7 linked regions of the Ovis aries genome follow. The protein of the gene in region 1 purifies or fractionates together with the protein of each later gene. This does not show direct contact. Links are inferred from orthologs where the notes say so. Each region holds a gene or a part of one and is shown in the gene's direction. Other genes may lie near its edges. The genes, in order: PHLPP2, WDR48, USP46, NHERF1, NHERF2, USP12 and WDR20.

Region 1 (3,872 bases):
TAGCTCAGACTGGGCGTTAGTCATCCTGGTGTCTGTGCCACACATACTGTTTGACACATACTGAATGTTCAGTAAATATACGCAGAACAAATTCTTTGATGGACATTTACAACATCACTTTTTCATTCAGTAGTATAATGTGCCTTTGCTTTTTAGATTTTCTCAGCTGAAGGGCCTGAACTTGTCCCATAATAAGCTTGGGTCATTTCCTGTATTGTTATGTGAAATTCCTACCCTGACTGAGCTCAACCTTTCCTGTAATGGATTCCAGGACCTGCCGAGTCAGATTGGCAGTCTGCTGAAGTAAGTACCTGATTTTTACTGGGTTTTTTTCCTTTGTTTGCAGTGTAAGGAACTTGTCTGGTATTTGGAATGAAGCTAGTTCCATCAGCTCTTGCAGTGAAATAGATCATGTAATTATGAGAATTCTAATCAGCAGCAGTTACTTGCCTACAAAAGAGACTATCCCCTCAGTTTAACCACAGAGGCTCTGACTACCCTTGATGTTAAAGGGACCATCTGTATTTGAGTCATCTTAGTAAATCTCTATAGATAGACTGAGGGCATCTAATCATATTGGACTCATAATAAATTAGTGACAAGTAAAAATCCATAATTCTAGTTTTATCCATTCCAATTAAAACGTTTCATCAGGGAGTTTTGTGTTGGTTTCTTCTTGCAGTCTTCAGACTCTCTGTCTTGATGGCAACTTCCTGACTACTTTACCTGAAGAACTGGGAAATCTACAACAGCTGTCCTCCCTGGGAATTTCCTTCAACAACTTTAGTCAAATTCCCGAGGTTTATGAGAAACTCACTATGTTAGATAAAGTGTTTATGGCCGGAAACCGAGTGGAAGTGCTAAACCTGGGGGTGCTGAACCGGATGAGCCATATCAAACATGTGGATTTGAGGTGAGGTCATTCTTTTTCATTTTTGATTGCACTGAGTCTTCACTGCTGCCCGTGGGCTTTCTCTAGTTGTGGCAAGCAGAGGCTCCTCTTGTTGCATAGTGCAAGCTTTAGGCACATGGGCTTCAATAGTTGCAGCATGCGGGCTCAGTAGTTGTGGCTCGTGGGCCCTAGAGCACCAGCTTAGTAGTTGTGGTGCCCGGGCTTGGTTGCTCTGTGTCATGTGTCCCAGAACAGGAATCGAACTTGTGCCCTCTGCATTGGCAGGTGGATGCTTATCCACTGCATCACCAGGGAAGTCTGTTTGGTCATTGTTCACTGTGCTTTCTTTTTGCCTAACCTCTGATGTTCCTTTACATTTTCTTTTTAAAAATAAAGACTCTTGAAACCATTAGGATTTTAGAACAATGTATGTTTTTAAAGCTATAGTAAAGCTTCATTTTTCACTTAATGGTAGAGAGATTTATGGATGAGGTAGGTGTACCATGTGGTAGAGATGAAGGTTGTTCTGACTTACCCACCTAGCAACGTTTTATGAGAATTCCCATTTCCTTTCATCCTTACCAATGTTGGATTTTAGCAGTCTTCTTCCTTGTTAGTGTAGTAGGTAAAAAACAGTATTTCATCATTTTAATCAGCATTTATTACGAATTAGGATGAGTGTCTTTTTGTATGCTTATTGGTGGTTTGTATTTTTCCATAATAAACTTGACCATTTTTCTGTTGAATCCTTGGGTTTCTTCTTGATATCTGTGATATTAGAATTGAAATGTTACCAGTTTTACTAGTAATATTTTTTAATGAGAGTTTTATTCCTTTCTAAAATTACTTATATATTTGTAATCTTTTCCTAAACGAAAGTAGTAAAGCACACATACTGAATGTTCTGTTATTTACACTGAGCCATTGATGTCCCTCATAAAGACGTAGTAACAAAAATTTATTGAAGAATGGGAAAATGAGAATAAGCCTGCATGCATTAAATCATATACCTTATAGAAGAAGCCAAAGAAGTCGTTTTCTTTTACTTGCCCTTGAACTATTCCATATAGATAACAGACTGTTTTCCTCTCCCTTAATTAATGTAATGGGAATCTTGGCACTGGACAGTAGGCAGAGCAGTGAGAGGCAGCGTAGCTGTTTGTTCTTGCTCTCATGTGATACTTACACTATGACCGTCCTGCTAGTCCCAGCCCCAAAGGTTATGCTCATCTTCTCATTTCTTTGTTTTATTCCTTCATCCCTGCCTAACCTTACTAGGTATTTGGATGCAGGTTTTAGGCTAACTGTTTGTGGACATGGTCCCCTTTTCTTTCTCTTTAATTTGTACATGTATTTGCCAATCTGCACAGTCTCTAACTTAGTTTGTAGACAAAGAACCCAAGGTACAACTATCTGTGGTTATTTACCTAGTACCTTGCACAATGAGGCAAGGAGTAAAATTCTTAAGTTGTTTAGGAAAGAGACAAGAGAAACATACTCTCCTGTTTTTTTCTTTTGGTAAGCACATTTAGTAGAATTTATTTCTAATGATTTTCTTATTTCTGAATATTAAGGATGAACCGTCTAAAAACCATGATTATTGAGAATCTGGAGGGAAATAAATACATCACCCACATGGATTTGCGGGACAATCAGCTGACTGACTTAGATCTTAGCTCCTTTTGCAACTTGGAGCAGCTGCATTGTGAGCGGAACCAGCTGAGGGAGCTGACGCTCAGTGGCTTCTCGCTTCGAACTCTCTACGCGAATTCGAACAGTGAGTTCTCTACCCAGCCTCCTGTGTTTCCTCTTGTAGCTCTTGTCTGAGCTATACAAGAACAGTGGCATCTGAGGTGTTCCTCAGCCACTCTGCCAAGTGGAGTTTGAGGTTCATAGAGACCTAGCTTTAAGTTTGCAGTCAGCACTTCAGTGGTTGAGATATGCATAAAAAGGCATTGCAGGATTATTTGAGCTTCACTAAATGAATGTTATAATAATCAGAGGCATTTTGCAGAATGCTAGGATGTTAGGGTGGGCAAGCATGTTCAAAAGAGAATTTCAGTAATAGTCTTGCAACATGGGTTGGCCAGCTGCAGCCCTGTAAATATGGCCTACATCTCATTTTGTGTGGCCCTTGAGGGATGGGTTTTTATATTTTTTAAAGGTTGGGTTTTTAAAAAAATCAGAGGAAAAATAATTTTGACATGGGTAAGTTATATGAAATTCAAATTTAATTGAATAAAGTTTGATGGGAACACACCCATGTTCGTTTGCATATTAACCACTCTCCTGCTACAGTGGCAAAATGATTGAGTAGTTTTGAGAGAGACCACATGGCCTGCAAAGGCCAAAATGTTACTAAATGCTTAACCCTTTACAGAAGATTACCAGTCTCTAGTCTAAAACCTTGTGCTGCCTTAATTCCAGAATGAGAAGCCCTTCACTTCAATAGTGATTTATTTGCCCCAGGGCTATTTTTCAATGTAAAAGGCCTCATATTTGTTGAGGCCATTCTGTTTATAGAGAATTCTTTACTGAGGAAGTTATACAGTTGACTCTTGGGAAACATAGGTTTGAAATGCACAGGTCTGCTTTTTGTTTGTTTTGTTTGGCCATGCCATGGGGCTTGGGGGAATCTTAGTTCCCTGATCTGGGATCGAACTGGGGCCATGACAGTGAAAACGCTGAATTCTAATCACTGGACCACCAAGAAGTTCCCTGTACAGGTGTACTTAAACATGGAGTTTTTTCAGTAGTAGATATGGTTGGTCCTTGAATAATGCAGGGTTTAGGGGCACATCAAACAAACCCTTTAGACAAAAATCTAAGTGTAACTTTACAATCAGCCCTCTGTTTTCATGATTGTGTAGTATTGTAGTATTTACATATATGTATATATATATGTATGTGTGTGGGGGGGATATATATATATAAATAAAACTATATAAAGTTTTGTATGAATTTTCAACTGCTCAGAGGG
Region 2 (4,331 bases), on another chromosome or scaffold:
CTTAGTTCCCCACCAGGGATCAAACCTTGGCCTCAGCAGTGAAAGCCCTGAGTCCCAACCACTGGACCAGATTGAGGCCTACCTGCCCCAAGGCCTGCACCACAGAAGCAGAGCCCAGAGCCAAGATCACCGCAGAAGCTGACCAAGCCCTTTGTAACTACTGCCAAAAGCTCCTGATAATCACTAACAAGCTTCCTGACTCCCAATTAGGCAAAGATGCCCATTTGAGTAAATATTCTATAGCGCCCCAACCAACCACCTAATAACTCCAACCATCCAGCAGGACTTTTGTCTTGAGAGTATAAAAATTGGCTATTAACCCACAAAAACTGCCAGCATTCCCTGGTCTGTCAGGAGGTCAGCCCCTCTGCACTCACAGTCCCTATGTTGTCTCTGTTCTTTGTTCTTAACAAATTCACTCTCTTCCTGAAATACTCTATGTCTGGAACTTGTTTTCCAACCATTGCTCAGACTGCCTCAACAGACCACCAAGGAATTCCCTCTCTCTTATTTAATCAGGTACTTGGAGCCTCCTGAAGATGGGACGACCCTCTTTGCCAAACCTTCTACTTCACCTCCTTTCAGGGCAGTTTATAATTCTCCATCCTTTTAGGTACTTCATGGTAAATATACCGGATCCCCTAGCTGCCAACAAACGTTTGAAACGGGTAGGTGCTACTACTACTAAGTCACTTCAGTCGTATCCAACTTTGAGCGACCCCATAGACGGCAGCCCACCAGGCTCCCCCGTCCCTGGGATTCTCCAGGCTAGAACACTGCAGTGGGTTGCCATTTCCTTCTCCAATGCACGAAAGTGAAAAGTGAAAGTGAAGTCGCTCAGTCGTGTCCGACCCTCAGCGACCCCATGGACTGCAGCGTTCCAGGCTCCTCCGTCCCTGGGATTTTCCAGGCAAGAGTACTGGAGTGGGGTGCCCTTGCCTCCTCCGTGAAAGGGGTAGAGGTGCCATCAAAGTCCCCATTTCCAGCATTAATTCTGTCAGCATTTTTCTTCTACTTGGGCCTGAGGAGGCACTAGAGAACAGTGCAAGCCGGGGTGCAGGCCCACAGAGAGCCAGTTTCGGATAGCTTCCTCAGCTCACAAAATGACTCTCTCTCCGGCAGCATTATATGCACGCAACAGTTTTTAAGTGTTTCTCTCATACCACAGGACCGCCACTGGGACACCAGCCTCAGCTACAAGCAGCCCTTGAGGTGAACACCACCAGCCAGGCCTCGACCGGACGGGAAGAGGCGGGACATCCGTCCGGTACTTGCCACTTCCGGAAGTGACGTAGGACTGTCAACATGCAAGATGGCGGCCCATCACCGGCAGAACACGGCAGGGCGGAGGAAAGTGCAGGTAGGAAAGGCTAGCTCGTTGACCTCCCGGGCGTGGCTGGCAGCCCCGGTCCTACATCCAGCAAGCAGATACCTCGGGCCGCGGTCGGCCAGGGTAGCGGCTTGGGGCAAGCAGGACGAGGCGCGGCTGGCGGCGAGGGGTGGGGCCGCGGCGCTAACGGCTTGAAGAAGGGGCGGGGGGCGGCCGGCTGGACCCGCGAAGGCCCAGTACTGGGATCCTTGGACGCGCAGTTCGGAGCTCGGTGTTGTAGGTCATCCGCTGTCTCTTAGGCTAGTGCTTGCGGTGTCGGGCTGGGCTTGTTCCCCGCCCACCTGCTTCCCCCTTCCCTCGTCTGTCTCCCAAGCCCTGTGCCCAGCGGCGTCGGAGCGGAGGCCTTGGGACTGTTGCCCGCCGGACGGGCAGCTGAGTGAGTGGGCCCGTGCGGGGGCGTGGCGTGGCTGCTGAGCCCTGCCGGGTTTTTGAGGAGGTTCTGCACTTGGGAACCCCCAGCCGCCTTTTATGCGCGAGCCTTCTCCCCCGCGAGGTGGAAACGATGTGGGAGTGTGCCGGTGTTTGTGGGAGAATTGTAATTTTCATTGTTTTGGAATTTAATATTTTCACCGTTTCTTCATCTTTAGTGTGCATTGCATCCTTGAATTTTTCTCTCTCTCTAATGTATAATATTATTCAGAAGCAAAGAGTTACCTAAGCCTCCCGTGTGTGCTTTATGCCTTCATGAGTACAGTTTCGTTTTGGGTACGTTTGAGTTATTGCTACCTATTGTTTTCGACGACCTGAGGAGTAAAAGCCTTATTACAGGTGTTTACCTGCAGTTCAGTTCAGCTCAGTCGTGTCCGACTCTTTGCGACCCCCTGAACCGCAGCATGCCAGGCCTCCCTGTCCATCACCAACTCCCGGAGTCCACCCAGACTCATGTCCATTGAGTCGGTGATGCCATCCAACCACATCCAACCATCTCATCCTCTGTCGTCCCCTTCTCCTTCTGCCCTCAATCTTTCCCAGCATCAGGGTCTTTTCAAATGAGTCAGCTCTTTGCATCAGGTGGCCAAAGTACTGGAGTTGCAGCTTCAAAATTAGTATTACTGATTACCTGCAGTATGTTGTTTGTAATGGGGATAGTACGGTGCACTTACTCGTTAAACATTTACTGAGCCTTAGTTTGGACCCCAAAATGTGTAAAGAATTGAAAGAGTGCAGGAATAAGTAGCACCCAAGCTTTCTTTATAAAACTCAGCCGTGTATGTAGTGCTACATATAAGTCAGTGAATATTTGGTAATCTGGACAAGGGATTCCTTCATTGAGGTAAGCCCAGGAAATGGCTGTTGGCCATAAAATCTTCTGACTAGTTCACTTCTTTCTTTTATTGATCTCATTGATCAAGTACAGTGTCCTCAGCACTCATTAGATGTTTGTTGAATTGAGTGACATTAACAAGAATCTAAAATAGCATACCCTGTAAGGTGATTTTTAAGTGCATAAGGCAGGTGGTGAGAATGTATGCTCCTGACTAAAACGTGAGCTTAATTGTAACTTAATTGTTTTCTGGTGTTTAGAAAACTTTCCTTACTGCCCTAAGGTAGGGCAGTGCTGCCCTACATTCCTTAGGGTAGTAAGGAGAGTTAATCAAGTGTCTTAGTTTCTTGGATTTAGACTTAAAAGGTAATATAAAAGTACAGGATGGGGAAAGTATAAGTTAGCTGCGGCATGTGTGGTAAAACTGAATGTTTTAATAAGCTGACTATGAGCCATGGTATGCAGAATGAGGGAGAATGATAAATTCACTCTTCACCGATCAGAGTGCAAAACTGGAACTTGGGAATCAGTACTTAGCGCTTTGTTCTTAATAGGTATAGCAGTCAGATTGGTGAAGTGACTTGAAACTGATTCCTAGGAAGAGCATTCAAAAGAACTTTCTACTATCAGTTGGCTGCCGAGAAAATTCAGTGAGTCTTGTTTGAGTCTTTCAGAATTTGTCCCTAAGGTATAGAACCAATATGAGAAGGCGCAGAGAAGGATTTTTATATAAATACAAGGGTGAGCTTTCGATCATGAAAGTGTTTTTTAAACCAGTGCATGTTCGTTGCAAAACAAAACAAAAGCCACAAACAGTACAAAAGTATAAATGATTATTGTGCTCCACTCTTCACAGAAAACTGTTTTGGAGAGTGTGAGATATAATCTAGGCCCAGGGTTTTTCACTCTGAGTGCTATTGACCTCCTGGGCCAGATAATTCTTGATTGTGGGAGGGCTGTTGTTTTGCATCATCCTGCCTTCCCACTAGACACTGGCACCTTCCCAGCTGTGACAACCAAAACTGACTCTAGTCATTTTCAGATGTCCTCTGGAGGACAGAGTTGTTGGTTGAAAATTAGTGTTCCATACTTCTTTGTAAATGTGTACTCAGCTTAGGTGATTTTTTTTTTCACTCTAAAATGGAGTCACGGTATTCACTGCTTTGTCTTTTGCTGTTTGTTCAAAATTTTAAATATGCATTCCCTTTATTCAGCAATTCCTTGTCTGAAAAATTGTTTTATGAAAGTACATATGCATCTATCTTTTGTCATGCGAGGATGTTTGTTATAGAATGCTGTCATTGTGAAAAACAAAAATCAGAATGTCTATCAAGAGTCAATTGACAGATAAGTTAGGTACTTTCGTATAGTAGATTACTTTGCAATTAGAAAGATAGGCTAGATTTATATTAAAGAAAAGATGTCCAGAGGTAAGAATAGGAAATCAGCATAGCATGGTCCCATTTCCACACAGGAAATAATGCATTTTCAAAGTCTGCAAGGATATTAACAGTGATTATCTCTGGGATATTAGATTATGTGATTATTGGTAAGGCAGGAAACAAGATACCTTTTACCTTAACATATGTGAACCTTTTTATTTTTTAACATTTTTATGATATTCTTTGCTCTTAAAAAAAAAACAACTTTCCATTTTGGAAAATATATATATGGCTA
Region 3 (4,376 bases), on another chromosome or scaffold:
TTATCAGGATCTGTTTGGAAATAAGATGTAGGCAGAATAACTTAAGCAGGAATTGATGTCTGGAAATCCATTAAATATCCAGAGCCAAGATGACCCCCAACGAAACTTTGTCTCCGTTGTCTTATTTCCATCCCAGGTCCTAGGGACATTAACAATCAATGGTCTTCAACTACTAAAGAGCATTAACACTAAATAGATAATGGAGGACAGGAAGTGAGCTATTTTCCCAGTATGTTCCTCTTGGTTAGATAAAAGCTATCTTCAATTTCATTAATTTCTCCTCTAATTCGATTTGTCATTAAATATATGGGTTTAAGAACTGTCAGGCGTTTCCCTCGTACAACTTCTCTGTTGAAAGCATAAAACTGCAACTTTGTATGAGAACTGTTTTACACCTTCGGAAATGGGCTCCTCCACTTCACAGAATGTAACTGCTAAGTGGTGTAGATTCGCGCTTTGAGTTAAAAACCACGACTGTGTATGCAGGAAATGTGTATGAGCCAATACAATGACCCTCCAAACCTGAAGAAGCTGGGTGGCCCCGAGTGAAGTAGGTTTTTCTAGAAGACGCGGAAAAGTTTGTTTTTCATTCTTTCCAGGTTCCATCGCTCCCTGGACCATCCCTAGTCCTTATCCAGTACTGAGACTTCCCCTTTGTACCTGCTGCTGTCACCCACTGCCCAAGCGCGCCTCGGCCCACGCTCCCGTCCCCTCCCGGCGCCCTCGACCCGGCAGGCCAAGGGCTCTCGGCACTGCCGTGTCCTGACCCCATTTACTTCGTGGGTCCCCGCTGGTGCCATCTAGCTGGAAACCCAGGGACAAACGAAAAGTTGGACGTAGTCACCCCTGCCCCTTGCCTCCTCCACTCGCCGGAACGTGAAAACGCGGGGCTGCTGCGGGCCGCGCGGCCAGAAAGAACAAGTGAAGACAGAAAGCGGCCGCGAGTCCCCAGCCCGCGCGCTGCGCCTTCCGGCGGCCGACACCCAGCGAGGGCTCGGTCTCGCTTCCCGGGCGGCGCCGCGGGCCGGAGCTGGGCGGAGGAGGCCGCCGGCGCGGACGGGTCCGCCCGGGGGACCGGCTGCAGCTGCGCGAGCCGGGGCCTGGCCGCGCTTTCCAGCCGGTTCGGAGTGAAGCAGGACGCCGAGAGAGAAAAAAGAGGAAAGCCGAGCCGGGGCGGCCGGCGGAGGCGGGAGGAGGAGCCGCGGGGACCCGGGCCGGGTCGGGGCCGGAGCGCGGCGGGAGCGCTCGGGGCGTGCGGGTTGCACGCGGCGCTCGGGCCGCCCCTCCTCCCGGCGCCGCCGGCCGCGGCCCAGGCTCCCTCGCTCCGCCACTCCCCGCCCCTCCGCTCTCCCGCCCGCCTCCCGCCTTCCCCGCCCTCCCCGCCTCCTCTCCTCCCTCCCGGCCTCCCTTCTCCCAGCCAAACTGAAAGCCGGACCCCAGGCCGCCTCCCCGCCGCCGCCGCCGCCGCGCCCGGCCTCCCCGCGAGCGCTCCACCATGGCCGGTCCTGTTTTCCCCTTGTAAAGATGGCGGTGCGGGATCGCTGTAACCTTTAGACTAATGACTGTCCGAAACATCGCCTCCATCTGTAATATGGTGAGTGGTCGCCGCCGCCGCCGCCTCGAGGGTCGAGCCCCAGGCGTGGGGAGGCGAAGAATGGGAAACCCGAGCTGCACGCCCGCCGAGCGGCCGGTGGGGGTGGGGGCGGCGGGGGCCGTGCGGCGCCGCCAGAAGTTCCCGGCCCCCGGGCTGGGCGGGCCGGTCGCGGCCCGGAGAGCTGTCGGGGGAGGGGCCCGGAGCCCCCCGCCCCCTTCTCGGCCCCGAGACCCGGGAGCCCGCCCGCCCGCGCGTCCCTGAGCCGCTGCGCCTCCGCCCTCGGGTTGCGGTGAAGCGTCTTGGGGGGAGGAGGTAGGCCGAACCCGGACGTCCCGGGGGACCAGGTTGGAGAAGCTGGGGTCGCGGGGGACGCCCACCATGTTCTTGCCGAAGATAAAGCCCTGCCGGACACCCTGACCGCCCTTATCTGATTTTTGAGTTCACTCTTTTAAACTGTATTTAAGATTCACTTTGCAGAGGCAGTCGGTGTGTCTGGAGAAATCTGAAATGTGATAGAGCTGTAAAAAAAAGTGCAAAATTGTGGTCAGGGAAGTGAACTTATACCTGGTTTGGGAAAGCACGGTCATTTGTTGTGGATGCCTCAGTTTCCCCATCTGTGAAAGGGGAACAAGGTCATAAGGCAGTGACATTTAAAGGTCCTGAGGATGCAGGCCGTCTGGGGGGCATGGAGGAGGTCTCCAGGGTTATCCTGCCTGTCACTGTAGACCCAAGTGTGGACCGGTGGGTGTGGACGCAGCAAGAGGACATTGCTGGGCTCTGGTGAGGACGGGGCCCACGACATCGTGATCACTTTAACTTGTATTTCTCCCATTGCTTTGCCTTCTGCAGGAACAACCTCCAGCCCTTGGGTCTCAAGGGTGCCTCCTGCTGGTACTTCCACTTGTCAGAGCCTTGGGGACCAAGGCTTGCCCCCTGGAGTGAGGCACTGCCTTCCTGTGCACGATGAGAGGGTGTGTGCTTTGCCTTGGCTGTCCAAGGACCAACCCCCCACCCCACCCCCATCCTGTCTCCCCTTCCTCCAGCTGGATGGAACACATGCTCTTTTAATACCAGTTTGGGGAAACCTCTCAAGCTAGTAACACAGGCCGCTAAAGGGAATCTGAGGAGGCTTGATTGAAAAGCCTGGGAGTAAGGTGATCTGGCTGCCCTTCCCCCATCACCCAGCTTTTCAAATCTTCTGTCCCATATTCTCCTGCAAGATTAACACATGGGAAAGGAGCATTAAGGAGCCATGTGTTACTCAGGGATGGAATCAAGACCCACTGGCGCTGGCTTCAGTTTTCAGCGCTGTTGGACGTGGCTACTGCTGTGGTGGGCAGAGCAAAAGCTGGGCCTTCCCGGGGTGACAGCTGCAAAAATACTGGCTCAGGACCAGTTAGACGTGGTGGGTGGCTCCTGGCCGGTTTCCATTTCCTCTCTTCTCCATGCGGAGACAGGCCCCCTGCTCCCTCCTGTCGAATGGCATTAATGTTGCTTGGTGCAGTGAAAAGGTGATGCCTCTCTTCCCGGTTTCTCTGTCTGCTAAGACCAGCTCCTGAGGGGAACTGTGAAACCAGAGCAACTCTAACACTCTTTCGTGCCTGCTCTGGTGGCTTTGGGCTTACAGGGCAGTGGAGCCGTCGGTGGTGGTGTTCCTGCCCTGCTTGTTTGTGGTGACACCTCTGTACTGAAGCAGGCTGGAAACTTGAGAGCTAGCGTGTGCCAAGATGAAGCCAGCCTCCAGCTTTTTTCCTTTTCTGCCCTCAGTGCAGCTGGGGCTTCTTGGCACACCTGAGCAGAATGTCACAACCTGTTTCCAACAAAACTCAGCTAGAGAGGCAAGCTGCAGGGCAGACGAGAGGAGTGGGCTGTGGAGAATTGACATCTCATGTGAAGTCCTTAAAAAGGCACCAAACTTAGGATCATCACCCAAGTGAGATGAGGAACCAATAATTCACAACTCGGGAGTTGTACATTCCGATATAGACCCTGTGCCTAGAGTAAGGGACATAAAGAGTCTGGGCTCTAAAGTCAGACTTCCTGGGTTCAGGGTTTTGGTTCGAACATATGCTAGTTTTTTGTCCCAGAACCAGTTGCTCTCCTACTTTCCTAATCTACAAGAAGGGGATGATAATGGTTCCTCCTCATGCGACTGTTGTATTAAAGGAGTTACTGAGCCTACTAGGTAGCAAGTACTTACTGAGTATCACGTGTTGCTGATCAGCTTCATCTTTCTCATTATTATGTCATCTTCAGTTGTTTAAAGGACAGTGTCTTCTTGGACCTGATGTAAGCAGCTGCTAAGATAAATGCTAAGATAAATGTTTGTTTATGCAAACCAAGCCCATACAGGGAGACTGGGGTGGGAGTCCTTAATCCCGCCCCCTTATAAAAGGCTGCTCTGGTGCCCTGGTCCCTCCCAGTCTTGCTTCCCACAGAGGAGGCTGGGTGATGAGACTGCTGTCTTTTCACTTGTTCAGACATACAGTTTCATTGGACCTCGCTTAAGATTCTTCACTCAATGATGAATTGTTTCCAGGTAGGTCTTCTGTGGGTCTCTCCTCACCACTTCTTTTCTCTCTGGGGGGCTCTAACTGATCCTTCCCAGTCCCAAACTCCATTGGGACCAAATGGAGTTGTAGTAAGAAGTGACAGTTGACAGTTGCGTCTTTTTTTTTTTTTTAAAAGCAGGTCATCTGGCATATTTTAAACAGGCTGATGTGTGTCACAGAAACAGTGATAGAAGATACATCCTTCTAGGTAAGGCTTGTGCAAACCAGGA
Region 4 (4,640 bases), on another chromosome or scaffold:
GGCGTAGGCAGGAGGCAGAAGTGAGCAAACCTCAGGCCGTTGTGTAACCTCCAAACCCAAGTGCTGCCTCTTCCCTGACCTCCCTCATTCCTTTTCTTCTCAGACAGACAGACCAACTGACTGACCTTAGAGCCCAAACTGCTTTATCTCCCTTCTCTCTGACCCTGGTTAGGGAGTGAGAGGTCATCCATTTCCGGGTAAATCAATGCATTGTATGCAAAACAATGTCTCTCTGGTAAGATCTGGGTGGGGAAAGGGCCCACAAGGAGTTTCTGTGTAGCCAAGGTCACAGGTCTTCCCGAGCCCTGACCTCAGCCCTGGGAAGAGGTCAGGAGCTGTGCAGATTGATCTAGAGACACCTTTACTCCAGCTCTGTACACCAGGGGCCGGGAGAGGGGTATGTAAGGTATGTACTGCCCATTTCTCAGGCCGCTGCATTTGCTTTCAAAGCAGAAATCTTGCTCTTGGAGCAGAGTCAGCAGCTCCAACTCAGGCCGATAAGGAAGCTCTGCAGGCAGAGCAGGGAGGAGCCTGACCTTGCAGGGTTCTTCTGGGGCCCAAGGCAGGTTGCAGGCGATCCAGTCACATGGGCTGCTCTGGGCCTCTAGCATTTGTGTTTTTCAGCATTAAATGGCAGTATTTTGGAAAGTACACCCTGTCCACTGTTTCTTTGAGGTGGACATGATGCGGGGGTGGGGGGAGGGCGGCGGCAGTTCATGTTGAAAGGATCGTTATTGTTTGTCACTGACTGCCAAAATCATTTGATCCTCATCCTTAAATGCCCACCCCCCACCAAACTGGTCACCTCACCCTTAACAGACTGCCCCCAGCCTCTGTGACCAGCCTCTCATCTGAAAGTAGGAGCTGAAAGAAGGTTTATTATCTCACGGTCCTAATCATTTTACTTTCTCTGTTGAAAACGTCAGGGCTCCTTTTCCCCAGAGATCGGCCCCCTGACTGTGACCTGCCTCTCCCCTGCCCCACCTCCCTAGCCAAAGGCTGACGCCGATACACAGTTGCCCCTGGGTGGCCTGTCTTCGCTGCGCAGTCCCATTGAAGCCTTGGGCGCTCTGCTGGACCTTCACACTGTCCCAGCGAAGATGGGAGCCCGCAACCCTACTAGCAGGCCCTGCACTAAGCGCCCCACAAACTGGAAAATATTGTTATTCGAACCACTTTCTTGGGTCCGAGGTGGGCCTGGACCACAGTAAAACTGCGGGGACCACGCAGCCCCGGAGCCGGATTGCTTTTCCTAGCAACAGTCGCCCCCACCCTCACCCCCCAACTGGAGATGCACAGTTTGGCTGAAGGCTGTTAAAGCCTCAAGGTCCTTTACCCGAGGGTTGGCGCGCTCAATCCCTGATGCAGGTGGTGGTGGTGGTGGCGGACGGAGTAAGGGGGGTGGAATCAGAACCGATCTTGCGAGCCACCCAGCCCGGTACCAGGAACCCGCCCCGCACCCAGCGCCCCTCCCCGGGCCTGCACTCCGGACACTCAGTAACAAACACTTCCACTTCCTGAGCGCTCTTTCTTCTCCCGCCGCGGGGCGCCGAGCGGAGCCCGGAGCCCCGCCCCCTGGTGCTCCCATTGGTCAGGGTCCTTCACCCTGCCTGAGCGCCTCCGTGAGAGGCCTCTGATTGGCCCGCGGCGGTCCACACCCTCCGCGCGGCCCCGCCCCCGGGGTATGCGGCTCGGGCGGTTTCTGGAACGCTCAGTCGCCGCGCGGGGCGGGGATCGGTGTTTGAGTCCCGGCTTCGGCTCCTCGCTGTTCGCCGCCGCGGCTCCCGGCACACCTGCTCGCTTCTTGGCCCGTCCGGCGTCGCCGGGCTGCCCTGCCGCTCTCGCCCTCGCTTCCCGGCCCGCAGGGTGGGACGCGGAGCTGGACCGGCCCGTCTCCGGACCCCGACCGAACACCGCTGAGCGCCGCTGAGCCGTTGCCAGGCGAGATGAGCGCGGACGCGGCGGCCGGGGCGCCCCTGCCCCGGCTCTGCTGCCTGGAGAAGGGTCCGAACGGCTACGGCTTCCACCTGCACGGGGAAAAGGGCAAGGTAGGCCAGTATATACGGCTGGTGGAGCCCGGCTCGCCGGCCGAGAAGTCAGGACTGCTGGCCGGAGACCGGCTAGTGGAGGTGAACGGCGAGAACGTAGAGAAGGAGACCCACCAGCAGGTGGTGAACCGCATCCGTGCCGCCCTCAACTCCGTGCGCCTGCTGGTGGTAGACCCGGAGACCGACGAGCGGCTGCAGAAGTTGGGCGTCCAGGTCCGGGAGGAGATGCTGCGTGCCCAGGAAGGGCCCGGGCAGGCCGAACCGCCGGCCGCAGCCGCCGAGGAGCGAGGGGCTGGCGGCGAAGATGAGCCGCCGGCCGCCGCGCCGGAGCCTCGCGAGGCCGAGCAGAGCCATCAGGAGCGGGTAAGTGCGGGCCCGGGCCTCGCGGGGAGGCTGGATGGAACCGGGGGGGAATGAGAGTAGTGGGGAGACCCAGGCGCCCGGGATGCCCAGCCCTGCTCCCCGCCTTGTCTTTCTGAAACTCGATCTTCGGAGGCGAGACTGCTTCCGCCCGCCGACTGGGCCAGCTGGCAGTTACAGTCTTGAGGCTGCGTCCCACGACCCCTACGTCCCATCCCCAGGCTGGGCTGGGACCCTGAGCGCCTTAGGGAGTGAAGGTGAAGGAGGGCGGCTCAAGGAAGCCCAGTCTCCCTTTCCTCCACTCTGTTGGTGGCTGTCTGCTCCGATCCTTTGGGACCCCCAATTCCACCCCTCCTCCGAGTGGCCAGCTCCCTCCACGGGCCCCTGGGGGTGGTAAATGAAGCGGCCCGACTTCGAAAAGCCGGAGGAATAACCAACCACCCTCTTTCTTTGTGGAGCTGCAGCGGTGGGAGGAGAAGGGGAGGGGAGGGGGCCCTTTCGCCCCTTCCCCGCAGCCCGCTAGCCTGTGTATCATTAACTTCAGCCCGGTGGACTTCATCCTCCTGAAGTCCAGCGTGACTTCTAAGAAAGAAGCTCCACCATCTGCAGGAGATGTGTGGGGGCGGGGCTGAGGGAGGAGGTGCAGGGGCGTCTGGTCCGGGGGTGGTGGCAGCTCTGCCCCCAGGAGGATTTATGATTCTCAGGAATGTGAGGAGTAAGCTAGCTCCTATCTGGGAGCAGGAGGGAAGACCTTGGAGAAGTGGCTGGCTGTGGGGGTGGGGGGCGGGACAGCAGCCAGGAGGTCACCACGGGCAGGTGGTCTTGCCTGGCACCGGCTGTCTCACTCCAGGCCCTGGACAGCAAGCAGGCTGGTTGCTTTCTGCCCACGCTGGGTGTTTATAACCCCAGCCTGGATCAGCTGCAGGAGGGGCAAGGAGAAACAGGACTTGTACTGAGCCTTCCTTGCCCAGAGAGTGGGGGCGGCCTTAAGGTGAGACTGGAGGGAGGAGAGTCGGGGCCTCCCCTGGGCCTCTTCGGCTTCACCAGCTCTCCACCTGTTGGCAGGGGTGTCCGTGGTACCGGTAGGAGCCTCCCGTGACACAGAAAAGGCACAGTTCAGCCTTTCAGTTTGAAGGTGGAGCCCGAGAGGACCAACTGGTTTGGTAGAAGTGAGGTCACCAGGAGCTGGGAATGCCAAGGCCACTGGGTGACCACTTCCTGCCGCCGCCAAGCTGGCCTTGGCAAGGGTGGGGGTGGGGTCAGAGCACCCCGGCAGGGGGTTGACCCCAGGGAGTAGGAACTCATGATCTCTGGTCCCAGACAAATCCAGTTTGAACTTTGTGCCGAGGGCACCAACTTAGCATTCCTTTTTTTTTTTTAATGGACTTTGGCACTTGCACAAGTAACTCCCCCCTCCCCCGCCAAGTTGCAGTCCTGTTCGGCTGGCTCCTCCCACTGCCCTTTCGGTTTTGCTGCTAGGGGTGGGGGACGCAGAGGCCAGGATGGAGGCTTGACCTTCCACGTGCGCTCCCCCGCCAGGCCATCTGAAAAGCAGCAGAGGTTGGCTCCTGCTCTCTGGGCGACCACAGAATGGGGTTTCCCCCAGGTCGGGGTGTGACCCCTGCATCCATGTGTATGCTTTATCCAGCCAGTTCCTCCAGCCATTCCCTGGGACATCACCAGGCCTCTTGGGATTTGGGGTCAACAAGAGAGTCAGAATTTCTCTGAGCATTGGTTCTGCCATCGATAAAATGAGAGCGCTGGATTCCAGGGACACCTGCCTTCTCTAGGATTTTACAAATAATAATACGCTTGAGCCCCTAGTGGGAGCTGGACTGAGCTCCTTGTGCGCCCAGGCATTTGAATCCCAGCCACGACCCGGGATCTCCCTTAGCCTCTGTGTAGCCGCTCAGCAGTGTTAAGCCCCTCTGGTAGGAAATTCCTGTAAAGTTTGGTATGGTGGGCATGCAGGTGACTCACCCTGTCTTTCAAAAAAACATAAGTTAATAGCCACAAGAGTTCATTGTTCCCCAAGAAGACGGGGGCGGGGGCGGGGTCTGTATAAGGGATGCATACAGCTTTTGCATGTTATTGATTACTTTGAATCTGAATTAACTTATGGGGGCTGTCATGACATCTTCCTTAGTTCTCGGAAGTGGAAAAGGTTTTGGTGGGGAGTTGTCAAGCAGAGAGAGTGGCAGGTGATATCTCATTGGGAGGAGCAGCCTGGGT
Region 5 (3,872 bases), on another chromosome or scaffold:
GGGGAGGGCTGTCTCTCACACCACAGGTCACCGCAGGGGTCTGTGGAGCCTGTTTGCACGCCTGTGTTTGGATGTCTGGTCTCTGTGACTGTGTGAGGTGCCTCGGCCATCTGGGCCCGCGTCCACCTACCAGGTGTGGTCATGTCACACGTCCAGGGTCCCACACGGCCCTGGCCAGCCTCGGAACCTGTGGTCTGACAGCCCCAGCCTGAGAGTTGCCTCAGAGCCACACACCTGTGCTTGCAGCTGTGTTTGGAGAGGGCCCAGTCTGTGGGGTCCTGGAGAACCTGGGTGTCTGCCCAGCCGATCCCCTGGAGGATGGAGGAGCAGAAGCCCCAGCCCCTGGAATTTCTGGGGCAGATGGTGGCCTGCAGCAGGGGTTCCTGGGGGGCTTTGGAGATCAGGGACTCTTTGGGGATCAGGAACGGGCCCCTGGAGGAGGGGCCCAGGCTGGACTGGAAGGTGTTCCCCACCGGTAGGAAGGCCCACATGCTGGGGCAAGGTACCATCCTGTAAGGAAGGGCACTCTTGGTTCCACGGCAGGGTGGCCACAGTCAGATTTGGGGGATTTGGGGTGAGCTTGGAGGCTTGGAGGCTGGCTCTCCCAAGTGTGGCCCCCCACCTGGCCCAGTGTCCCCGGCCACACACAGGGAGGTGGAAGGCCAGGCCCCGGTGAGCACCCCCGCCCCTGCACGCACATTTGAGCCCTAAGCGCTGGGGAAACCTGAGCTGCTGGCCGCCTGCTCCCTCCGGCCACCGCCATGTTAGACTGAGCGTCGCGGCCGCTGGCCACTCAGCGCTGGTCATTGCCTTAGGCCCCGGTGGGGTCCTGGGGTCTGGCCCCTGCCTGCACGGCTCCCTGCACCCCCTGGCCCATAGCCCTACTGCAGGATGCCAGAGGTAAACGGAGGCAGGGCCCTTGGGTGTGGGTGGGCACCCTCAGGGCACCAGGAGCCCCCGGGGTCAGAGGGGCAGGTGGGAGGCAGGCCCCTCTGCTTGCTCACTGGGCTCCAGCGTGTGGGGATGGGGGCTGCTCCAGCTGCTCTGGAATGTGAAGGCAAACACAGCTGCAGCTGCTGCCACCAGCCCCAGGGAGACCTGTGGGAGTGTAAACAAAGCTGGAGCCCTACCCCAGCAGACCCACACTCGGAGTAAACAACAGGCGGGGCTGCCCTCCTGGAACAGAGACACGGGGCAGCTCACCTCGCCTGCTCCCTCCTCGGCTCGGGTCTGCGCCCAGCCCTATCCTCGACCCAGTGGATTCTCCCAATCCCACTGTAAGGCCTTTGATCGCATCACAGGCCCACTGGGGGTTTGGAAACCAAGCCTTTGTCCAAGATCCCAAAGTTGGATCATCGTAGGTGGCCTAAGCACCCCCACACCCCAGGACGGGTCTCTGAGACGAGGGGCTACCATCAGGTGGGGGTATGAGGCCAAGCGCTGCCTTGGCACCCAGCGGGGTGTGGGGTGGGTGTGGGCTGGAGGCCTCGGGCGTCAGCATCTCTCAGATGGGAGGAGGTCAGAGCTGGAACCTCACCAGGTGTCCCCGACGCCTGCAGGATGCCAACGGGCCTCTGAGGGAGCTGCGCCCAAGGCTCTGCCACCTACGGAAGGGCCCCCAGGGCTACGGGTTTAACCTGCACAGCGACAAGTCCCGGCCCGGACAGTACATCCGCTCAGTGGACCCCGGCTCCCCTGCTGCCCACTCTGGTCTCCGTGCCCAGGACCGACTCATAGAGGTACCTGCCACTGGGGCTGCGGGGAGCGGGCTGCCCTGTGTGTACCTGTGTCCTGCTGTGCGTGCCTCTGTGTGTCTGTGCCTGTGTGTGTGTGTACGCCTACGTGTCTGCCTATCCGTGTCCGTGTGTATATGTGTCTGTGCCTGCGTGCTGTGTCCATGTGTATCTATCTCTGTGTGTGTGTCTGCCCTTGCATGCCTGGTGTGTCCGTGTCTATGTGTGTGTGTGCATGTGCCTCTGTGTGCCTGTGTGTGTCCTTGTGTATCTGCACCTGCGTGACGGTAGGTGTGTCCGTGTATATCTGTGTCTGCACCTATGTGCCTGTAGGTGTGTCCGTGTCTATCTGTGTGTGTGCATGCATGTCTGTGCACTTGTATGTGTCCCTGTGTATCTGTCTGCACCTGCGTGCCTGTAGGTGTGTTCCTGTGTTATCTGTCTGCACCTGCATGCCTTAGGTGTGTCCGTGTGTGTGCATGTGCGCCTGTGCACCTGTGTCCATGTGTATCTGTGTGTTTGCACCTGTGTGCCTGTAGGTGTGTCCATGTGTATCTATCTATGTGTGTGCGCCTGCAGGCCTGTGTGTCTGTGTGTACTTATCTGTGTGTGTGCACCTGCATGCCTGTAGGTATGTCTGTGTCTGTGCGCCTGTGTCTGTGTGTATCTGTGTGTGTGTCTGCACCTGCATGCCTGTAGGTGTGTCCATATGTGTGTGCGCGCACCTGTGCATGTTCGAGTGTATCTATGTCTGCAACTGCATGACTGTAGGTGTGTCCGTGTCTATCTATCTGTGCGTGTGCATCTGTGCACCTATATGTGTCTGTGTGTATCTGTGTGTCTGCACCTGCGTGCCTGTAGGTGTGTCCGTTTATCTGTGTGTGTCTGTGCGCCTGTATGTGTGTGTATCTCTGTGTGTCTGCACCTGTGTGCCTGTAGGTGTGTCTGTTTATGTGTGTGTCTGTGCGCCTGTATGTGTGTATCTGTGTGTCTGCACCTGCGTGCCTGTAGGTGTGTCCATGTGTCCGTGTGTATCTGTGTGTGTCTGCACCTGCGTGCCTGTAGGTGTGTCCGTATGTGTGTCCGCGTGTATCTGTGTGTGTCTGCACCTGCGTGCCTGTAGGTGTGTCCGTGTGTGCGCGTGCCTGTGCACCTGTATGTGTCCGCGTGTATCTGTGTGTGTGTCTGCACCTGCGTGCCTGTAGGTGTGTCTGTGTGCATCTATCCACGTCTGTGTGCCTGGGCCCCAGGTCCTCTGCAGGAGGAAGATTCCGGGAACCTGAGCTGGTGCTCTTCTTGGTGCTGCAGCTGGTGACGGCACTGATGAATATTTGATGCCACACCTGTCCGGGTGGCTTGGGGGGCTGGTGGGGACCAGTCCCCAGGCAGCACTGACCCTGTGCTGGTGGCAGGTGAACGGGCAGAATGTGGAGGGGCTGCGCCATGCAGAGGTGGTGGCCAGCATCAAGGCGCGGGAGGACGAGGCCCAGCTGCTGGTGGTGGACCCCGAGACGGATGAACACTTCAAGCGGCTGCGGGTCACACCCACCGAGGAGCATGTGGAAGGTGAGCGGCTGCTTTGGGGCCCAGGGCTGGGGTGAAGCATCGGGGACCCGAGTGGTCAGTTACATACTGTCCCCACAGGTCCACTGCCATCGCCGGTCACCAACGGGACCAGCTCGGCCCAGGTGAGAGGGTGGGAGCAGACAGGGTGGGCTCGGGGACCTCAGGGGCACTTCTGGGAGCCCCTCCTGAGACCTCAGTCCTGGTGTCACATGGTTGTGACACTGAGCCCGGCCCTGTCACTCCCAGCTTTAAGGCCCCTTGGGTCCTGTCCGGGCCCAGCCGCACTCCACCCCACAGGGCACTCGGGCACCGCCAGCTTGCAGTCAAGGCTCAGTGCCACTGCCAGATGCAGGAGTAAATGCAGCTCTGGGGTGTGCACGTGTGTGCACACACTTGTGTCCATGTGTGCACATACGTGTGCACAGTCTCCTGGGTGGGCCCCTGAAGCCACACCTTACCCTTGGTTTCCCAGCTCAATGGTGGCTCCGTGTGCTCGTCCCGAAGTGACCTGCCCGGCTTAGACAAGGACACTGAGGTAGTGGGTGCCCCTCCACCTCCAGTGCTGCTGCTCAC
Region 6 (3,872 bases), on another chromosome or scaffold:
TTCTCCCAGCCTGTGGCTCATCTTCACATGCTGTCAACCATACCTTTGGCAGATCAGAAGTTTTTAATGTTTTAATTTTAAATTTTAATAAAGTCCAGTTTAAAGGACAGAAATGGTATAGACCTAACAGAAGCAGAAGATACTAAGAAGAGGTGGCAAGAATACACGGAAAAACTGTACAAAAAAGATCTTCACGACCCAGATAATCATGATGATGTGATCACTCGTCTAGAGCCAGACATCTTGGAATGTGAAGTCAGGTGGGCCTTAGAAAGCATCACTACGAACAAAGCTAGTAGAGGTGATGGAATTCCAGTGGAGCTATTTCAAATCCTGAAAGATGATGCTGTGAAAGTGCTGCACTCAATATGCCAGCAGATTTGGAAGACTCAGCAGTGGCCACAGGACTGGAAAAGGGCAGTTTTCATTCCAATCCCAAAGAAAGGCAGTGCCAAGGAATGCTCAAACTACCGCACAATTGCACTCATCTCACATGCTAGTAAAGTAATGCTCAAAATTCTCTAAGCCAGACTTCAGCAATACGTGAACCGTGAACTCCCTAATGTTCAAGCTGGTTTTAGAAAAGGCAGAGGAACCAGAGGTCAAATTGCCAATATCCACTGGATCATGGAAAAAGCAAGAGAGTTCCAGAAAAACATGTATTTCTGCTTTATTGACTATGCCAAAGCCTTTGACTGTGTGGATCACAAGAAACTGTGGAAAATTCTGAAAGAGATGGGAATACCAGACCACCTGACCTGCCTCCTAAAGAATCTATATGCAGGTGAGGAAGCAACAGTTAGACCTGGACATGGAACAACAGACTGGTTCCAAATAGGAAAAGGAATATGTCAAGGCTGTATACTGTCACCCTGCTTATTTAACTTATATGCAGAGTACATCATGAGAAATGCTGGGCTGGAAGAAACACGAGCTGGAATCAAGATTGCCAGGAGAAATATCAATAACCTCAGATATGCAGATGACACCACCCTTATGGCAGAAAGTGAAGAGGAACTAAAAAGCCTCTTGATGAAAGTGAAAGAGGAGAGTGAAAAAGATGGCTTAAAGCTCAACATTCAGAAAACAAAGATCATGGCATCTGATCCCATCACTTCATGGGAAATAGATGGGGAAACAGTGGAAACAGTGTCAGACTTTATTTTTGGGGGCTCCAAAATCACTGCAGATGGTGATTGCAGCCATGAAATTAAAAGATGCTTACTCCTTGGAAGGAAAGTTATGACCAACCTAGACAGCATATTCAAAAAGCAGAGACATTACTTTGCCGACTAAGGTCCATCTGGTCAGGGCTATGGTTTTTCCAGTAGTCATGTATGGATGTGAGAGTTGGACTGTGAAGAAGGCTGAGCGCCGAAGAATTGATGCATTTGAACTGTGGTGTTGGAGAAGACTCTTGAGAGTCCCTTGGACTGCAAGGAGATCCAACCAGTCCATTCTGAAGGAGATCAACCCTGGGATTTCTTTGGAAGGAGTGATGCTAAAGCTAAAGCTCCAGTACTTTGGCCACCTCATGCGAAGAGTTGACTCATTGGAAAAGACTCTGATGCTGGGAGGGATTGGGGATTAGAAGCGGAAGGGGACAACCATGGATGAGATGGCTGGATGGCATCACGGACTCGATGGACGTGAGTCTGAGTGAACTTCGGGAGATGGTGATGGACAGGGAGGCCTGGCATGCTGTGATTCATGGAGTCGCAAAGAGTTGGACACGGCTGAGCGACTGAACTGAACTTTTTGTTTTTTTTTCCTTCATGGAAATGCTTTTGATATTCTTTAAATGCTTTTCGTGTTGTATCGAAAAAGTCATCACAGACCATCTGTGCATGTGGAGTCACTTGGTGGTGGAGGGGTCCCAGGGACCAAGTCTGACGTCCCTCCTGTTGCATCCCGTCAAGGGAGGCAGCCAGCATGAGTGATGTGTCTTACTCTAGCTCACTGATTAAGTAGTAACTTAGATCATTATAGATGATTCATTCATAAATCAGAACATGGTTAAATTTGGAGGATAAATAAAAGAAGGTCATAAGTGAAGGCTCAGTTTGGCATGTTGGACTAATATTTTTTCTTAAATGGTAGTTTTTTTCTTAAATAATTAAACAGTATAGAGATCATGTCCTTTACCAGCCATTCTCATTCATCCTTGTCCTGTGTTCTTTTAAGAATTACTGTGTATGGCATAGTTTGTTTTATGCTTTACACCATGGACATGGGAGCCTGGCAGGCTACAGCCCATGGGGTTGAAAGAGTGGGCCACGACTGAGTGACCAAACCACCCCCAATACCAGGATTCGGGGAAGTGATGGGATTTCACATCACACCAGCCTTTGCCAGTAAGGAGAGCAGCTGTAGGTGCACTTTGGTATTTTCTTCTAAATATAATGAAGGGTATTGATTCAGCTTCCTTTTGTAAACTTGTATGACTCAAGTAGTTTCTTTTCAACTTGGGGAAAAAGGTTCTTTATATATTTAATAATACTGATAATAACCCACATTTAATTCTTTCACTTTGGAGCAGTAATTTACTGATACCTAAAGAAATCAAAGGTAATTAATTCTCTTATTTTTACAGATAAGCAGCAAAGATGAAGATTTTTTAGACCTTTCTGTTGACGTGGAACAAAACACATCAATTACTCACTGCTTAAGGTAAGCGTGGAATTATTTATTTTGACAGTTAATGATTATCTTTGGTTTTTAGAATATCTTTAAATGAATGCATCATTTTCTGGTACAGGCAAAACTAATTTATTTTGGATTTTACACAGGGGTTTTAGCAACACAGAAACTCTATGCAGTGAATACAAATACTACTGTGAAGAATGTCGCAGCAAACAGGAAGCACACAAACGGTAATTTAGTGTTTTCTGTAATTCATAGTGATTCTTTGGCCATGGATGTTCTAACCAAAAGTGATCTCTGGCAGTTTGCATTGAGTAATCATCCTTTATTTTATCACCAACTGTTAAGACTCATTAGGTAATTACTAGACAAACACATGAGGTAGTTACCAGGCAAACAGTGCTCAACTCCGGGCTGCCTTGACTATCCACACTTGGTGAGTGTTTAATCGCCATAAACCAATACAGTGAGAGGATTCTGCTTTGAAGCTTTCCTCGTTGTGTAAGCTTTCTCGTGGTGAGGAAAGAAGAGGGGAAAAGTGCTTTCCTCACGCCCACTCCAGTCTCCACTGTTCCTCCATAGGATTCACGCCTTCTCTCAGTGTGTCACCATGAGGACAGTACTCTGGTATCAGAAAATGGACTTATCATCACCCTGATTATTTTACTTTTTGTTTTGAGGCAGCCTCAAAGTCTTGTGAACAGTATACCAAGAATGCTTTTCACCCTTAACCATTTGAGAGTGGGTCCCTGCTGTGATGTCCCACAGTTCTGAGGCTTCGGTAGTGGTATCCTGCCAGCAAGGACGTTTCCCCTGTACCATGTCCGGCCACGTCAGGAGAGCAGCGCTGAGATGTTACTGTTGTTGTAGACCTTACTTTAGCATCACCAGATGTCCCAGTAATGTCCTTTATAGGAAAAAAGGGTCTAGTCCAGAGGCACACGTTGCATTTACCATTTGTGTCTCTGTCATCTTTTTATACTGGGAGCAGTTCCTTATCAGTCTTTGCTTGACTTTCACTCTCTTGACACTTAAAAATTACAGGTTAGGTATTTTACAGAATGTCCTCCTTTGAGTCCATCTCATGTTTTAATGTAATGAGGTTTAGATTTTGTATTCTGGGCAGGAATCACACAGAGGTGAGGCTGTGTTCTTTTTAAATGGTACACGATTTTGATACGTGTCATGTGTCGGGGCCCCCACGACCGCTCCTGGATTTGATGGTTCCC
Region 7 (3,872 bases), on another chromosome or scaffold:
TTTTTACCTCCTGAAGTCCAGGAGTCTTCATTAAATACATGTGAAGAAGAATAAGTTGCAAGAGTAACAGCTGTAAACATATTACGGACAGTCTAACAATATCAGATTGGCAGAGGTGTGTGAGAGTGCTTTTATAAAATGCTGAAAACTGCAAAAAAATTTATAAAAATTAAAATTTTAATATTTTAATTTTTAAGATTGAGCATCATAATGGAGTATAAAATAGTGTAACTTAGCGTTCTCATCTCAATGTGCTGTTTACCGTGTGTATTTTTCTCTTTCTCCTCCAGGCTGCTGACTTGAGTAAACCAATAGATAAAAGGATATACAAAGGAACACAGCCTACTTGTCATGACTTCAACCACCTAACAGCCACAGCAGAAAGTGTCTCTCTCCTAGTGGGCTTTTCCGCAGGCCAAGTCCAGCTTATAGACCCAATCAAAAAAGAAACTAGCAAACTATTTAATGAGGAAGTAAGTAGCACCCTGTCTTAGCTGTTAAGAACCCCTATAAGAATGTATACGTTCTTACCGAGGGTATGGGCCTTATAATTTTACTCTTTGAGTGAAGCCCATTTTCCATCCTCAGCTGTCCTACCTAGTATGACCCAAGTTTAAATGTGGTGCGTTAACTTGGTGACTTTTACCTGTTCTTTATTGGGCTAACTGTTATTTTGTGCATTTTTGTGTCTATAGCAGGTGTTTTAAGAAAAATTGTTTTTATAATGGAGATAAGGCTTGATCTTTATAATTTAAATAAGAAGATAAAGAATTCTAAACTGTGTTCACATCGCCAGAAAATTTCAAGCAGATCAAAGAACTTGCTAATATTTCCTTAGTTTTCGCAAACGGTAGATAAAGTGTTAATGTGTGTGTTTGACAGGCATACATCTAAGAATTTGCTCTCTTGCTCTTGAAAGCGTTTGCTCTAAAATCACCTCTGATGTGGTTAGAAGTCCTGGCCCTTGAAACTGGCTGGCATGGCACAAGCTCCTGCCTGTGTTGTGCTGTGTCCTGGGATTCCTGGTGTCTCCAGTCTCATTCTTGATGGAGCCCAAGAGATCTGAGCTGTTTGTTCAGAAACATGTCAGAACCTTTAAATCTGGGCAGATGGAAGTTGCCGGACGGATTACATCTTTAAAAGCTTTTGGAGTGGCTTTTTAGTCTGAAGTCTTGCCGTTACATATTTGATGCACTTCCTCTGCTGTTTCAGTGTGACTTTCCTAGTAAATGGAGCGGACGAGGTCGGCTTGCTGAGTTAGAGGCCCTGGCTGCAGTCTCCTTGTAACCTCAGCCCTGGGGTGATGAGGTCAGGTCACCTGAGCCCCTGTCGGGAAGGGCAGGAGGTTTTGCATTGTTGCATGGTCTAAAAGTTATTAACTTGAAACAGAAGTAAGTTACAGATTCTGGCTTTTAAGAAAATAATTTTGTTTGGGAAAGAATACTCCACTTGACAAATTGCAGTTAAAATTCTGATTCTTTTGCAGTCCCTATGGTATATGCTGTCCATGTATATCCAGTATCCATCCACAGTGCTCCTGTTGGACTTTGCCAATGGATTTGGTGAAATCTTTTGAACCATGCTATCTCCTCTTCTAGTTTCATCTGGGTTGACTGGAACAAAACTTGCCATCTGGATTGACAAACTAGAGAGGAAAAGTATTTAATCCCATTTTCTGTTTAAAAAAAAAAATCTTAAGCAGAAAATTATTCTGTTTCCCTAAACATTTTATTAACAGCATCTGAGGGAGTGATTTCTAAGTGGCTGGATGATTCGGGGGGAGGTTGGTGGTGGGGAGAGTGGGGGTACAAAACTACCCTTGCCTGCACTCTCAGTAGAAACGCGAACTTGGCATCCTGCAGGGTCTTTATTTAGGTGGGGACGTGCTTTCGGCGGGGAGGGACTGGAGCCATGTAAAGGGTGGTTGGTAAACAAGGTCGGGAGGCCGCCCGGCTGTGGATGGCACAGCATGCCTCTTGGAGAACAAGAAGGATTTGTGTGCCGTCGCTGGAGGGGGGTGGCGTGCAGCAGAGGCCCCAGGGCCCCGAGAGCACTCGATCGCCTCAGCTCGCCCCATTCCTCACTCAGGATAGCCAGGAGCCACAGGCTGCAGCTCCCCACCCTCAGGGAGTGAAGCGGAGTTACCTCCTACTCTTGTACATTTTATTTGGAAAGTGGCTGTTCAAAGGGAGAGAGGATTGTGTGTGGTTTAATGCCAACTTGGCATTTACAGCTCGAGGCTGAAATTGATTGCCCTTCACAGTGAGGGTGTTCTTTGTCGTACGGATAGCATTCTCATCAGATTTTGGTCAGGATGTCTTAGAGACAGGGTCATTGGAGGTTTGTTTCTCAGAGGGTGCCAGGGATGGTGGTCGAAGCAGTTGTTGGGCCGTGCTTTGCATTCATGTGAGACTTGGAGGTTTCCGAGTATTTTACCTGCTTTCTCTGCACGAGAGGGCGGGCTGTTGTCTCCACTGTGCAGACAAGGAATTAGAGAGAGGGCAAGTGAGTCGTCCAGACCCGGCAGCAATTTGATGATATGCTTAGATCCAGAAATTAATTCCACACATCCTTACTGGCCATAGATAGGAAGCCCCATCATAGCTGGTTGCCATATGGGCCTTGTCACCTCTGGAGCTCACTCTTCTGTGAGATGGACAGGGAGGATGTGGAGTGTGTGTTACGAACAAAGTAGCAAGAGAGGTGAGTATTAATTGCACTCTTCAGGATGTACCAGATACCATAAAATAAAAACAAAAATTCAGCGAGGGAAGTTTGAGAAAGCTTGCAGAAGGTGACATTTGACCTGGGTTTGAAAGATGCAGAGGAGTTGGAGGAGGATGAGAAGGGCCTTCGAAGCTGGAGAAAACACCTTAGCATGTGGAGGAACATGAGGCCAACAAAGGAGTCCAGACCTCAGTGCGTGGGCCTTGGAGTGGCTGGAGGTGAAGCTGGACAGGTGAACTGGAACCAGATTGCAAAAGCCTTTCGTGACATGCTGAGAAATTTGGATCTGACACTGGAGGCTGTGGGGCAACCTTTGGGGTTTTACTTTATGAAGGAAGTGATAGGATCAAGTGTGTTTTTTTCGAACTCTTGTCAGCACTTGGGGAAGGCGGATTGGAATGAAGATAGCAAGATGAGTGAGGAGGCTCTAGTGACTGTCCAGGAGAGAGCTGAGGACTTGACCTGGGGTTGGGACCATTTCCTCATTCATTCTGCAGACCTTGGTGGCTGACCGTGTGCAGAGAACACCTGCCCTGTGTTTCCCCTCCAGAGGGGGGAGAAGTGTGAACAATGCCACACACACTCACATACACACACTCACACGGCACGTGGTGGTGACTTGTGATGTCAGAGGAGACAGTGGGCCTGAGGGAGAGAGACAGACACAGCGCCTGATGGACAGGGACGTGGGGCATGTCTCGGAGGAGGTGGTATGCTTTGAGCCTCGCCTCGCGTGAGAAGGCCCCCCCAGGTACGAAGCTGGAGCTGGAGTGTCCCTGCAGGAGGGAGAGCAGGGGCAGCCCCTGTGGGAATGCACCCGGGGCCAGGAGCCCTGGGAGAGGGGTGTCGGGTGAGGGCCTGGCCACGGTTGCTGCCTGGCCTCCGTGCAGGGAATCTCGCACAGGGGAGCCAGAGGTGGTCTGCGTGGTGTTTTTGAAAATTACTCTGGCTCCATCTTGGAGACGGAGTTGGAGAGATAGATGAGCAGATGCTGGGTTTCTGGCTCACTAGGCGCACTGGGTGAGAGGGGAAGGAGCAGGTGCTGGAGCAGAGCGAAAGGTCAGAGTTCCTTTTCCCGCTTGTCAAGCTTGCGAGGCCGGGGTAGTTGGGTCTGTGGATCTGGAGGTTCAGACTAGAGGTGAATT

The links.
Region 2: the proteins of PHLPP2 (region 1) and WDR48 purify together in Homo sapiens (affinity purification with mass spectrometry; 5 studies listed by BioGRID and IntAct, with this or other methods). This does not show direct contact. The link is inferred for Ovis aries from reciprocal best matches to the Homo sapiens genes PHLPP2 and WDR48.
Region 3: the proteins of PHLPP2 (region 1) and USP46 purify together in Homo sapiens (affinity purification with mass spectrometry; 4 studies listed by BioGRID and IntAct, counting the BioPlex papers as one, with this or other methods). This does not show direct contact. The link is inferred for Ovis aries from reciprocal best matches to the Homo sapiens genes PHLPP2 and USP46.
Region 4: the proteins of PHLPP2 (region 1) and NHERF1 purify together in Homo sapiens (co-immunoprecipitation; 3 studies listed by BioGRID and IntAct, with this or other methods). This does not show direct contact. The link is inferred for Ovis aries from reciprocal best matches to the Homo sapiens genes PHLPP2 and NHERF1.
Region 5: the proteins of PHLPP2 (region 1) and NHERF2 purify together in Homo sapiens (affinity purification with mass spectrometry; 3 studies listed by BioGRID and IntAct, with this or other methods). This does not show direct contact. The link is inferred for Ovis aries from reciprocal best matches to the Homo sapiens genes PHLPP2 and NHERF2.
Region 6: the proteins of PHLPP2 (region 1) and USP12 purify together in Homo sapiens (affinity purification with mass spectrometry; 3 studies listed by BioGRID and IntAct, with this or other methods). This does not show direct contact. The link is inferred for Ovis aries from reciprocal best matches to the Homo sapiens genes PHLPP2 and USP12.
Region 7: the proteins of PHLPP2 (region 1) and WDR20 purify together in Homo sapiens (affinity purification with mass spectrometry; 4 studies listed by BioGRID and IntAct, with this or other methods). This does not show direct contact. The link is inferred for Ovis aries from reciprocal best matches to the Homo sapiens genes PHLPP2 and WDR20.

Annotation. Positions count from the first base shown.
Region 1 is NC_056067.1:38,912,050-38,915,921, forward strand, and holds part of PHLPP2 (PH domain leucine-rich repeat-containing protein phosphatase 2), read left to right. Parts: intron 1-156; coding exon 157-303; intron 304-682; coding exon 683-913; intron 914-2,466; coding exon 2,467-2,669; intron 2,670-3,872. UniProt on the Homo sapiens protein: Protein phosphatase involved in regulation of Akt and PKC signaling.
Region 2 is NC_056072.1:12,380,080-12,384,410, forward strand, and holds the start of WDR48 (WD repeat-containing protein 48), read left to right. Parts: upstream 1-1,293; 5' UTR 1,294-1,312; coding exon of another isoform or gene 1,313-1,360; 5' UTR 1,361-4,331. UniProt on the Homo sapiens protein: Regulator of deubiquitinating complexes, which acts as a strong activator of USP1, USP12 and USP46. Enhances the USP1-mediated deubiquitination of FANCD2; USP1 being almost inactive by itself.
Region 3 is NC_056059.1:69,051,780-69,056,155, reverse strand, and holds the start of USP46 (ubiquitin carboxyl-terminal hydrolase 46), read left to right. Parts: upstream 1-1,415; 5' UTR 1,416-1,558; coding exon 1,559-1,594; intron 1,595-2,448; exon of another isoform or gene 2,449-2,565; intron 2,566-2,835; exon of another isoform or gene 2,836-4,115; coding exon of another isoform or gene 4,116-4,133; intron 4,134-4,282; exon of another isoform or gene 4,283-4,354; intron 4,355-4,376. UniProt on the Homo sapiens protein: Deubiquitinating enzyme that plays a role in behavior, possibly by regulating GABA action. May act by mediating the deubiquitination of GAD1/GAD67.
Region 4 is NC_056064.1:55,979,737-55,984,376, reverse strand, and holds the start of NHERF1 (Na(+)/H(+) exchange regulatory cofactor NHE-RF1), read left to right. Parts: upstream 1-1,713; 5' UTR 1,714-1,946; coding exon 1,947-2,411; intron 2,412-4,640. UniProt on the Homo sapiens protein: Scaffold protein that connects plasma membrane proteins with members of the ezrin/moesin/radixin family and thereby helps to link them to the actin cytoskeleton and to regulate their surface expression. Necessary for recycling of internalized ADRB2.
Region 5 is NC_056077.1:2,105,569-2,109,440, forward strand, and holds part of NHERF2 (Na(+)/H(+) exchange regulatory cofactor NHE-RF2), read left to right. Parts: intron 1-1,559; coding exon 1,560-1,739; intron 1,740-3,145; coding exon 3,146-3,299; intron 3,300-3,377; coding exon 3,378-3,421; intron 3,422-3,771; coding exon 3,772-3,834; intron 3,835-3,872.
Region 6 is NC_056063.1:32,983,736-32,987,607, forward strand, and holds part of USP12 (ubiquitin carboxyl-terminal hydrolase 12), read left to right. Parts: intron 1-2,593; coding exon 2,594-2,670; intron 2,671-2,789; coding exon 2,790-2,873; intron 2,874-3,872. UniProt on the Homo sapiens protein: Deubiquitinating enzyme that plays various roles in the regulation of the immune response and inflammation.
Region 7 is NC_056071.1:64,661,155-64,665,026, forward strand, and holds part of WDR20 (WD repeat-containing protein 20), read left to right. Parts: intron 1-290; coding exon 291-477; intron 478-1,486; exon of another isoform or gene 1,487-1,658; intron 1,659-3,071; coding exon 3,072-3,175; intron 3,176-3,872. UniProt on the Homo sapiens protein: Regulator of deubiquitinating complexes. Activates deubiquitinating activity of complexes containing USP12. Anchors at the base of the ubiquitin-contacting loop of USP12 and remotely modulates the catalytic center of the enzyme.